Saccharomyces cerevisiae S288C: one gene and its partner. Changing the gene in region 2 together with the main gene of any one other region gives a genetic interaction. Each region holds a gene or a part of one and is shown on either strand. Other genes may lie near its edges. The genes, in order: UBR2 and AGA1.

Region 1 (8,047 bases), on a different chromosome or scaffold from region 2:
TTGAGCCAGCATGTCCAATTCCTCGTCCAGCTCATCTTCATCCACCTCGTTTGCCCCAGTAATTAAAGGCCTGGATATAGCGTCGCTTATTTCATCTCCTAATTCGACTTGCTCCCTTATCTCGTCCATAGTTTCATCCACTTTATCTATGTCAAGGCCACTGTGAATAGTTTTCATTGCCTTAGCACCTTCCTGCATAGCCCTCATTGTCTCTAGATTTAAGTTTGCACTTTCTATAGAGAATAGCTGCTGTTCCATAGACTCCATTGTGCCTTCTACCTTACTTAAAAGTTGTTCGATTGTCTTCTTCTTTTTAAGTGCATTCTTCGCCATTACTTTATTGCCCTTCGTCAAAAAGATTCTAGCTTCATTCTCTTGATTTGTAATTTGAGTACGTAAATGCGATTGCTTTTTGGATAGAAGGTTGATATGCTCCCTCAACCGCACTATGGCCTTTGTTGGTGACTCTTTATTCTTGGCATTACTTGATGTCCAACCAAAAAGTGATGACCACATGCCTTATTTATCAATACTGTTATGTTTCTGCTGCTTCCGTCCGAAATACAATATCTTACCCTTTAGAAGCTCGTACTTCCCCTGCTCTGCCAACTATTCATGATTCGAAATCACCCACCGACTTATTTAAAAATCCCATCTTTTATCAAAAGGGTCGAACATGAATCGTATAAAATGATGCATATAACAAAAGCTATGTAGTATATATATTTGCTATTACTTACCAACATTAAGCATTGGTTAGTTACGGAACTCCATCGTTGTCGTTACTCTGCTCACCCCCACCTCAATAACTACTTTACATAAGTATGCGGCATATAACAATATGACAAGTCATCCTATAATTAAAAAAGTTAACTGTCACCATAGCATAACCGCCAAGCGCTAAATTAAGGGGGAAAGAAAAGAACGGTGTTGAACGCAAGCTATCTACCTCTTTCTTTGATGCGGTTGAAATATTATACTCGAATAACAACCATTTATAGAGGCGAAATCACTAGAATGGCCGGCTTAGTATAAACAATACCGAGTACGCCAATTTTATGGTACACAGTTTATACGTAATACTGATTTCCGACGAAGCCGCAATTGTAAGTCAAAACTTGAATTAATTAGTCTCACATGGCTGACATAACGAAGAATAAAATTAGGGAAAATACCGCCAAAATTTATCCCCCGTTTAGAGGAAGGTGATGACTCGACTCATCAATTTTCAATCTACATATAGCTACGTATTCATGCCACTCACTTCTTAGGATGTTAGATGTAACAAACCGAGCAATCATAAGGCCCATGTTATAATATTTGCGGGGCAAGTGTTACTGGTCCTAGATCCTAATTGCCCGTTTCTTCACTAGATGTGCAAAAAGCACACCATCACTTATCACGTTGTGGTGACAACGGCGGCAATTTCCAGTGGCGTTTGTTGAACTTTTAGGCGATATCAATAAAGAGCATCGTCAATGTACAGCTGTGGGGAGAAACCCAATAATCAACGCATTCATACTTTCAATTGCTTGGCATATTACTAACAACTCTATAAAAAAAAAAAGTTGCTCAAGCTTTTTAAAAAAAAGAGCCGGCTTTTTTTTCTAATTATTATCATTTACTCGTCTCTGATAGTAAAGGTAAGATTCGTTAACTAAATTAATAGCTACTTAACAAGCACGCATGGAAGATTCTGACCTGTCTATAACCAATATAAGAGATTTTCTTACCGAGCTCCCCAAACTCGCGAAATGCGAATATAGCGAAACCACTAGTTATTTACTATGGAAAACCTTAAATCTACGCCTTAAGCATAGTGATAACGATATAAACTGGCGCTCTCTCGTTTCAATACTCAATTCTGAAGCCTGGGAAAACGAAAAGTACAGAGACATACTAAATGGAAGAAAGTGGAGGACCCTGGAGTTCGAGAATGACCACCACTCTGTGGGTAATATGCATATTGGAACAGCGTGTACGCGTTTATGCTTCCCCTCTGAGACAATTTATTACTGTTTTACGTGCTCCACAAATCCATTGTATGAAATATGTGAGCTTTGTTTCGATAAAGAAAAACATGTAAATCATTCTTATGTTGCTAAAGTGGTAATGCGCCCAGAAGGCAGAATATGCCATTGTGGTGACCCCTTTGCCTTTAATGACCCAAGCGACGCGTTCAAGTGCAAGAACGAATTAAATAATATTCCTATTTCTAACGACAATAGTAACGTAACCGATGATGAAAACGTAATCTCCCTATTGAATTATGTTCTGGATTTTTTAATTGATGTAACTGTTTCATACAAAGAGGAGGCAGAAGCCCATTCAAGCGAGAGAAAAGCATCCTCCCTAATGCATCCTAATCAAAACAGCATTACTGATGATATAATGGAAAAACACGAATGTGAACCATTGGTCAATGATGAAAATTTTGTTTTCTTTGATAACAATTGGTCCAATACGAGAAAAGAAGCACATATGGAGTGGGCTATTCAAATCGAAGAAGAAGAGTGTAACGTACACTACATGGATTTAGCATCTACAATAACAAGAATTTTGAATACACCGGTTGAATATGCAATCTCAATAACGAAGGCTTTAGAAGATTCACACGATGTAGTGACTGTGCTACAAAGTGAGAATTTTTTCGAAATAGATCAAATAGCCAAGGAGTTTCAAAAGGAAAACATAGTAGTTCATGTAAGAAAAGCGGATGATATATTCAAGAGAAAGTTAACAGATGATTTAACAGATTGGTTATATTCTCTGTGCTTTAAGGCGGCCACGTCTTTGCAAAATAAATATGCTCTTAGAATTTCCATGCTAGATGTTTGGTATTCCCATTTTTCTAAAATGAGAGTATCTCCCACAAATACCAATCCTGACTTTTCTAAGATTAACTTATTAGGTGGATTCTTAATATCTAACGAAGATAGTGATGAATCATGGTTTAAACCTTGGTCATTAGAGAACATTGAAGACGAAAGAATTTCAAAAATACTCACTAATTACAATGAAAGGTTGATCAGAGCCCATTCGCCGAACACAGTAAGCCATTTCTACAATTTCTATGGATCTAGATTCCAATATATTATCATCAATTCTATTAATATCCTCTCAAAAAAATCTAAATTCAAAATGTTAAAGATCATGGCGTCATTATTCTCGTTAAGGGATGAAAGCAGAAAGTTTCTTGCCGCACAATATATTGATGTTTATCTATCGGTCTTGTATGATGCAGTTGCATCAGATGCTAAAGAATGTCAGGTAACTCTTATGAGTATATTAGGGCAATACACTTTCCAAGACCCCAGCATAGCAAATATGACTATAAGCTCGGGATTCATTGAACGAACTATTAGATTTGCTTTTACTCTCATGGCATTCAATCCAGAAGACTTGATGTCATATTTGCCCATCTCTTTATACAATGGCTTTAAGTTGCCCACCGAAACAATACGAAATCGAAGGACAATTATTTGCTTTAAAGACCTTTGTACGATAATGTCAGCGAACACTGTTCCGGAAGAACTACTTTCAAATGAGGCAATTTTTAACGCAATAATTGAGTCCTTCTCTGAATTCAGTAACGTGCTGCCATTGAAAAGGGAAACTAAAGAACACGTGGAGGTTGAAAACTTTGATTTTTCTGCATTTTATTTTTTTTTCTCATCAATACTAATAATGACAGATGGATACACACGTAGTATATCTTTGGTCAAAGATGCGGCTTTCCGTAAGCAAATCGTCCTTAAACTACTTGATGTTGCTCAAACCAGGGAATTTGAATCACTAACCAATTCTAGAAAAGCTATATCACCTGATAACGCATCAACGAATGAAAATGATTCGAACAAAGCGACTTTGTCTACAGTCAGAGAGACGATATGCAATTATGTCGCAGAGACTATTAATTTCCAGGTAGGTGTAAATACACAGTATTTTTTCAATCCAATGTCATATTTGTTCAAATTTGTTATTCAATGGAGTCAATGTGGTAGATATGAGCCAATTCCTGCTTCTTTGACAAACTACATTAATCTCTTCGAAGTTTTTCAAGATAAGCAGAAGGCTTTATATATATCAGAATCTGCTTTGTCAACCCTAGTCCTAATCGGGCAAATAAACGTCGGTTTCTGGGTAAGAAACGGAACTCCAATTACTCACCAGGCCCGGATGTATACAAAATACAGTATGCGAGAATTTACTTATATTAGTGACATTTTCAATGTGCAATTTAGTATGGCAATGTGCAATCCTGATGAACTGATGGTTACTTACCTCTCAAGGTGGGGTTTGAAGCACTGGGCAAATGGTGTACCTATGTATGATTATCCTGATACAGAAACAACTGTAGCCGTTGTTAATGAATGCATTCTGTTATTGATTCAATTGCTTACTGAAGTGAGATCATTGGTCATGAAATCATCAAAGGAAGGCTTCGAGAGAACGTTCAAATCAGAAATAATTCATGCCCTTTGCTTTGATACATGCTCTTACGCACAAATTGTTAACTGTATTCCAGAACATATCACCAAGCACCCTTCATTTGATATATATCTCGAAAAATACGCCAATTACACTTCTCCTGTAAGCTTGACTGACAATGGCATTTTCGTGTTGAAAGAAAAGTATAAAGATGAGATTGATCCTTATTATATAGGGTTGTCTTCCAGTAGGAGGTATGATGTAGAGAAAAATATCAGGCTGAATATGGCAAATTTGAAGAAAATGAAATATGAAGATACTTTTGTACCAGCAAAAAAGGTTAAAGATTTGTTGAAGAATACATTATTTTCTGGGCTGTATTCAATATCATCAGTGAATACTTTTGGTTTATTTTTGAAAAATACTTTAGATCACATTATAAAATATGATTATGACAATTTATTGCCGAGAGTGGTTCATTTGATTCATTTATGCGTGGTTAATAATCTGAATGAATTTATGGGGATACTGTGGCATGAATACGCAATTGTGGACACAGAATTCTGTCATTACCACAGCATTGGTTCTATCCTGTATTACTGTTTGTTGAAGGATAATTTTTCGGAATCTCATGGTAAGATTAGGGAAATTTTCAGGTATTTAATGGAAACAGCGCCTCACGTAAATGTAAACAGTTATTTGAGGGAGCAAACCACGTCATATACACCAGGAATATTGTGGCCTACAAAGGAAGATAAAAGCCACAAGGATAAAGAATTTGAAAGGAAAAAACATCTTGCTCGATTGAGAAAGAAAAAATTAATGAAGAAGTTGGCTCAACAGCAAATGAAATTCATGGAAAACAATAGTGTAGATACTTCCGATATTAGTACACCCAGAACCACATCACCTAGTTTATCTCCCACTAGAATAAATGCAGAGAATAGTAGTAACACAATCAACAGTTGCTGCGATGATGATTGCGTATTTTGCAAGATGCCGAAGGATGACGATGTATTTGTTTATTTTTCATACCAAGAACGGAACATATGTGATCATGGAATTGATTTTACGAATCCTACAGATGTTAATAGAATAAATTCGCTGTTCAGTGGTAAGCAAACAAAAGACAGTGCAATCCAAGAAAACCCCCAGGATGATGATGGAACGAGATTGAAATTTACTAGCTGTGAACCAGTATTAAGAGCATGCGGGCATGGGTCTCATACCAAATGTTTAAGTGGCCATATGAAGTCGATTCGCGGAATACAAAACCAAACTACAAAAAATATTCCATTATCGTATGGTTCAGGGTTGATATATTGTCCCGTATGCAATTCCTTAAGTAATTCATTTCTACCAAAAACAAATGATATAGATAAGAGAACTTCGAGCCAGTTTTTTATGTGTATTGAAAAGCGAAGTGAAGCGGAAGAAAACCTTGACCCAATGAGCTCTATTTGTATTAAAGCAGCGATGATTCTAGGTGATCTTCAGGGTAAAAAAGTCACGACTATCGAAGATGCATATAAAGTTGTTAATAGTGTTTTTATTAATACTATTTCAAATACTGAGCTCAGATTAAGATCGCACAAAAAGGAAGGAAAAATAGTGAATATGGAAAGAATATCCAGTCAGTGCATTTTAACCTTACATTTAGTTTGTGAGCTAAAGTCGTTTATTTACAAAAAATTTGTTAATTCAAAAACATTCAGCAGCGAAATCTCTCGTAAAATATGGAATTGGAATGAGTTTCTAATAAAGGGTAATAATGTGAATCTACTTTTGTATATGAGTCAAAATTTTGATAATATTGATGGAGGAAAAACCCCGCAACCGCCTAACCTATGTATCTATGAAATGTTCAAAAGAAGGTTCCATCAACTACTACTGTTGCTTGCAAGAGATATGATGAGAGTAAACTTTTACAAAGACTGTCGAAATAAAATCAAAATATCATCAAACGGATCTGAGGAACCATCGACAAGCTTTTCATATCTATTCAATACTTTTAAAAAGTATGTTGATCTCTTTAAACCAGACGACGTTCGGTTTGATTTTACAAGTTTAGAGAAAATTAAAGACTTTATATGCTCTCTATTACTAGAGTCATTGTCCATTTTTTGTAGAAGAACCTTCTTATTATTCAACATTCAGTATGATGATGATGGTGATGGTGATAATAATAATAACCGCAGCAATAATTTCATGGACGTCAAACAGCGTGAAATAGAGCTTATTTTCCGGTATTTTAAATTACCCAATTTAACTCACTTTTTGAAGGATTTTTTCTACAACGAACTAACACAAAATATAGAAAGGTATAATGATGGTAATGATAATTTGAGAATTCAGCAAGTAATATATGACATGGTGCAGAACATAAACACAAGAGCATATCCTTCACCAGAGCATATCCAGCTTATCGAACTACCATTGAACCTTTCCAAATTTTCCCTTGATAATGATGAAATATCGAATAAATGTGATAAATACGAAATCGCAGTATGCTTGTTGTGTGGCCAAAAATGCCATATTCAAAAAAGCATAGCACTGCAAGGTTATTTACAGGGGGAATGTACTGATCATATGAGAAATGGATGCGAAATCACCTCCGCTTACGGAGTTTTCTTAATGACCGGCACAAATGCGATATATCTGTCATACGGCAAAAGAGGTACATTTTATGCTGCACCTTATCTAAGTAAATACGGAGAGACCAACGAAGACTACAAATTCGGTACTCCCGTCTATTTGAATCGGGCGAGATACGCGAATCTAGCGAATGAGATTGTTTTTGGCAACATGATTCCGCACATAGTGTTCCGACTAACGGACGGCAGTGCAGATCTTGGTGGGTGGGAGACTATGTAGTTATCCAACAAATGTCTAGTCATTCAAAATTGCTACGAAATTAGCGTATCCGAAAAATCAAAAGAAATTTTATCTGTTTTAATTGGCGTGGGGAAGTGGGGTAGGGTCGAGGATCATTACGCTTTCTCGTGGGAAGGGACAGGGACGGACCGAAAAAAAAAGAAATGCCGCAGAAAAAGAAATGTTTTAGTGTGGGGTATGGGCTGAAGCTCGTATAGTGCAGGGTGACTTCACTTTTCTTTTTACCCTGCAGGAAATGGAGAAAGTGTTGATGGATAAGGTATATAGTCATAAGGTGACACAGCGTGGGTGTACATCTAGAAAGCTTGGCGATTCGAGCGAAGTGGTGGTTTACTCGTTTTATAATAAGAGTTTTTGGACATTATTTTTTCTTTAGGACACAGTTGATTCAAATTCTACACTTGTTTTGTCGTCTGGTAAAGTTTAGCCATTGTAAAGTGGACAAAGAAGAAGCTGCAACGCAGATAAGCTGAAAAATAGTTCACATCCCAACAGACAATCAAATTAAGTACATGATGGACTCGTCAAGCAAAAGCTTAACTCAGTATATACCCTCACCCATGGGATCTCTATCAAGGCTAAAGCAGAAGGGTGTGGACAATTTTCAGAAGGTGAAAAAATCCGGTAAATCCATCTATAATTACAACTACTCAAAATTCGTTCCTCATCCATTTTCAACTATTGATGAAAGTGTTAAACACTCTGAAAGTGGGCGGTATGA
Region 2 (4,777 bases):
TGGCAAGCTGAGGGCCGTAGTCTCGAGCTCTTCTCTCTGTTTCGCCAGGCTCACCTGTGCCGCCATCATCTGCTCTTCGAATGCTCTTTCACTGCTGATAGTAACCAGCGTATTATACGTAACAATGCCCATAAATGCGACAATATTAGTTGTGACAAACATCAAATTACCAGGCGCATTGAAGTATCTCCACAGTGTACGCAGATATGGGAATGTATCACCATTACAGCTCAGGAGAAGTCCGTTTGTCCTTGTGAAGTTTGTCACTGGTTTCTTCCTACTTCGAGAAAAATGCATATTCGTCTTAGAGTTTACGGAATAAAAACGCTTCCATAAAAGTCGCCATACTGTGCTAATACTCCTCTTCCCCTTTTTCAAATGCATCGTGTGTTTCCACGCCTGCTCGGGTGCCTTTGCTGTCTCCAAGCTACTGTTGTTATCCGTTTGTTTTATACTTTCCTTATTTTGTAATTTACTATTGGATGTATCTCCCCGCGTGAAGTCACTAGAACGGTTTAAAATAAAACTTTAATAAATTTATAAGCGTCAGCAAATACATATCAATAGAGAGCGTTTTCATTACATTGTTGTATTTTTATTCGATTGATTGTATATGTTTATATAAATGAATTAAATTGTTCTGATATTAACTGAAAATTACATTGCAAGCAACTGCCATGATGGCGAAGACCAACTTTCCTAATGGCAAACGCGTTTGCGATCCACTGCCCATATATTGGCTAATTGTTACCATTGATGAAGTTTGGTATTGTATGGAGATTGAAGTAGTGGAAACTTCTGTAGTGGTAACAGATGTTTGTAGAGAAGAGGGAGCAGATGATGATGAGAGGAAAATAGAAGATACCGTCGGAGTCAATGATGAAGATTCAATAGTCGATTCCACAGAGGTAGATGGTGTAGAGATAGATGTTGCGGAAAGTGATGATGTAGAGGCAGATATTGTAGCAATAGCTGTGGAAGAAGTGGGTTGTAAAATCTCTGATGTTGAAGAAATTTGAAGTGTGGTAACTGGTGACTGTTCGACACTTAGTGATGATACAGAACTGAATAGCAAAATAGTACTGTCAGAGGATAATGTAGCAGACAAGGAGGAGGATGAAAGGACCGATGTCGATAATAAGTGTGATGATTGTTCTTGAGATTCTGAGTCAATGCTTGATGTACTCGTGGCTTCACTTACACTAGTCGAAATGGTTGAGGTACCTGAAGATGTTACATGATACTTACCGGTAGCGTGCTTATTGAAATCTTCATCCGAAGTTGTCATTGAACTTACCCAACTCTTTGTGGATGTGGTCTGCTGTGTTACAGAACTTGATGAAGCTGTTTGCACGGAAGAATACGAGTGTGACGTTTCAGCACATGTGGAGCATGCATATGAGGATTCAACCGTTGAGGTGCTTACAGAAGTTGCGACGTTTTTAGTGGACATTTTTATAGAAGATGTAATCAAACTTGTTGTCTGCGAGGGCATGCAAGACTCGTGAGTGCAGACTGTAGCGTCTGTTGTAACCGTTTCATGCATACTGGTTAATGTGCTAGTCTCAGATTCAGAGCTATAAGGACACCATGTCGTATACATTGTAGTGACTCCACTAACAGTGGTGAAATATGTAGACATGGAAAATGATGGGATAGTAGTAGAAATTGAGGATTTGGTGATATATTCAGACGAACTTTGTGAACTAACAGTTGTTTCAACAGTTGAAGAAGTCATAGAAGGAGTTGCAACATTTGACGAAGTCGAAGGGACGGAGTAAACAGGTGTGGATGGGCTGTATAATGACACAGACGTTGATGAAGATGCTATAGAGGAGCCAAGGGATGAAGTTGAATCAGTAAAAGTAGAGCTAATAGATGTTGAACTTGGAGAAGTGGAAGCCAAAGTTGGAGATGAAGAAGTCAAACTTGGGGATGTAGATGTTGAATATGAAGAAGTGGAAGTGGAGCTTGCAGAAGTAGATTTAGAACTTGGAGATGTAGATGTTGAACTTGATGAGGTAGATGTAGAGCTTGGAGATGTAGATGTCGAACTTGATGAGGTAGATGTAGAACTTTGGGATGTAGATGTAGAACTTGAAGATGTGGATGTCAAACTTGAAGATGTGGATGTCGAACTTGGAGATGTAGATGTCGAACTTGATGAGGTAGATGTCGAACTTGATGAGGTAGATGTCGAACTTGATGAGGTAGATGTAGAGCTTGGAGATGTAGATGTAGAGCTTGGAGATGTAGATGTCGAACTTAGGGAGGTAGTAGTTGGATTGGACGATGTTGTACTCGAAAGTGTAGAGGTGACAGGTGAGATTATAGAGGCACTTGATGGTTCAATGGCGCTGGATGATACCACGGTTGTAGTTCCTACTTCGGATAATGAGCTGATAGCGGTTGTGTGACAAGTAGGGCAAATATATGAAGTGAACTTGGAAGTCACAGATAAGGTGGTGGTTGGCAACGTCGATGACGAAGGACATGCCTCATGGGAGCAGACTTCTGTAGATAATGTCAAAGTACTAAATCTGGATAGGGTAGTAGCGTACGATATTGAAGGACTTATTTCGGCAGCAGATGAAGTGGATACCGTCAATGGACACCAAGTCGTATACAATGTCGTAGTGCCAGCTTGAACGATAGTGGATGTGGAGACTAGCGCGGGTGAAACTGTAGTTGTAACAACCCCATTTGCATCGTTTGTCTTGGTTATCGTCACTAGAATCGTTTCTGGATCAGATGCCAAGGCAATATTAGTTAATCCCAACAATATTGTGAACAGGTAGGTAAAATGAGCGAAAGATAATGTCATCTGAAATTTTTTGGTTTTTTTAGCTTTTATTGTTAATGCTCGCCGTTTTTCAAAGATGAACGTAAATACTGGAAAAGTTCACGATAATTATTGATGATAGATCATTATTCTGCGCTTATATACGTTTTAATTGCTTGCTGGGAACTGCTTATTTGCGATAGTCGCTTGTTTTAAGTCATTACTATGTTTTAATATTGTTTCAGAAAATTATGTTACAGCCGCGTTTTGACTTGAAACGTGCAATATCCAAAAAGAGACTTTACAATTGAAAGCTAACCTAAAATTTGAGAAGATATGTGACAGGTACCCTAAATGTAGATTGGGTGGCTGCTGAGATCTTTAAGTATGAAACGGGTGGACGTACTTGTGCTAAGTGGTGCTGTTAGACAGCTACGAATAAGGAAATTCCGAAGCATGTAGGGAGGTCATGATATGAAAAAGCAAAAGAGTAGGCATCAAAAAGTTTCTCATTCAAGTGGTAACTGCTGTTAAAATTAAGATATTTATAAATTGAAGCTTGGTCGTTCCGACCAATACCGTAGGGAAACGTAAATTAGCTATTGTAAAAAAAGGAAAAGAAAAGAAAAGAAAAATGTTACATATCGAATTGATCTTATTCCTTTGGTAGACCAGTCTTTGCGTCAATCAAAGATTCGTTTGTTTCTTGTGGGCCTGAACCGACTTGAGTTAAAATCACTCTGGCAACATCCTTTTGCAACTCAAGATCCAATTCACGTGCAGTAAAGTTAGATGATTCAAATTGATGGTTGAAAGCCTCAAGCTGCTCAGTAGTAAATTTCTTGTCCCATCCAGGAACAGAGCCAAACAATTTATAGATAAATGCAAAGAGTTTCGACTCATTTTCAGCTAAGTAGTACAACACAGCATTTGGACCTGCATCAAACGTGTATGCAACGATTGTTTCTCCGTAAAACTGATTAATGGTGTGGCACCAACTGATGATACGCTTGGAAGTGTCATTCATGTAGAATATTGGAGGGAAAGAGTCCAAACATGTGGCATGGAAAGAGTTGGAATCCATCATTGTTTCCTTTGCAAAGGTGGCGAAATCTTTTTCAACAATGGCTTTACGCATGACTTCAAATCTCTTTGGTACGACATGTTCAATTCTTTCTTTAAATAGTTCGGAGGTTGCCACGGTCAATTGCATACCCTGAGTGGAACTCACATCCTTTTTAATATCGCTGACAACTAGGACACAAGCTTTCATCTGAGGCCAGTCAGAGCTGTCTGCGATTTGTACTGCCATGGAATCATGACCATCTTCAGCTTTTCCCATTTCCCAGGCCACGTATCCGCCAAACAACGATCTACAAGCTGAACCAGACCCCTTTCTTGCTATTCTAGATATTTCTGAAGTTGACTGTGGTAATTGGTATAACTTAGCAATTGCAGAGACCAATGCAGCAAAGCCAGCAGCGGAGGAAGCTAAACCAGCTGCTGTAGGAAAGTTATTTTCGGAGACAATGTGGAGTTTCCATTGAGATAATGTGGGCAATGAGGCGTCCTTCGATTCCATTTCCTTTCTTAATTGGCGTAGGTCGCGCAGACAATTTTGAGTTCTTTCATTGTCGATGCTGTGTGGTTCTCCATTTAACCACAAAGTGTCGCGTTCAAACTCAGGTGCAGTAGCCGCAGAGGTCAACGTTCTGAGGTCATCTTGCGATAAAGTCACTGATATGGACGAATTGGTGGGCAGATTCAACTTCGTGTCCCTTTTCCCCCAATACTTAAGGGTTGCGATGTTGACGGGTGCGGTAACGGATGCTGTGTAAACGGTCATTGTGCTGGTGCTCACTGTCTGGGAATTTTCAATCTTGCATCACCATTACCAGCACGATGGATGCTCTTTATATATCAATCTTCGAGAAAAGGCTAAACGAGCCATTTCGGCGATTTCGGCATCGTGGAAAAGTTTCACAAGAATCAGGC

What was found.
Region 1: mutations in AGA1 (region 2) and UBR2 together harm fitness more than expected from each alone (negative genetic interaction), as found in Saccharomyces cerevisiae (2 studies listed by BioGRID).

What each region holds. Positions count from the first base shown.
Region 1 is NC_001144.5:186,921-194,967, reverse strand, and holds UBR2 (putative ubiquitin-protein ligase UBR2), read left to right. Parts: upstream 1-1,686; coding exon 1,687-7,305; downstream 7,306-8,047. Other genes in the region: ESCRT-III subunit protein SNF7, read right to left, coding at 1-516; IZH3 (Izh3p), read left to right, coding at 7,839-8,047. UniProt on the Saccharomyces cerevisiae protein: E3 ubiquitin-protein ligase which probably functions outside the N-end rule pathway, since it lacks the residues essential for the degradation of N-end rule substrates. Mediates RPN4 ubiquitination and subsequent degradation.
Region 2 is NC_001146.8:701,746-706,522, reverse strand, and holds AGA1 (Aga1p), read right to left. Parts: upstream 2,825-4,777; coding exon 647-2,824; downstream 1-646. Other genes in the region: PET494 (Pet494p), read right to left, coding at 1-384; diphosphomevalonate decarboxylase MVD1, read right to left, coding at 3,438-4,628. UniProt on the Saccharomyces cerevisiae protein: Cell wall anchoring subunit of the a-agglutinin heterodimer.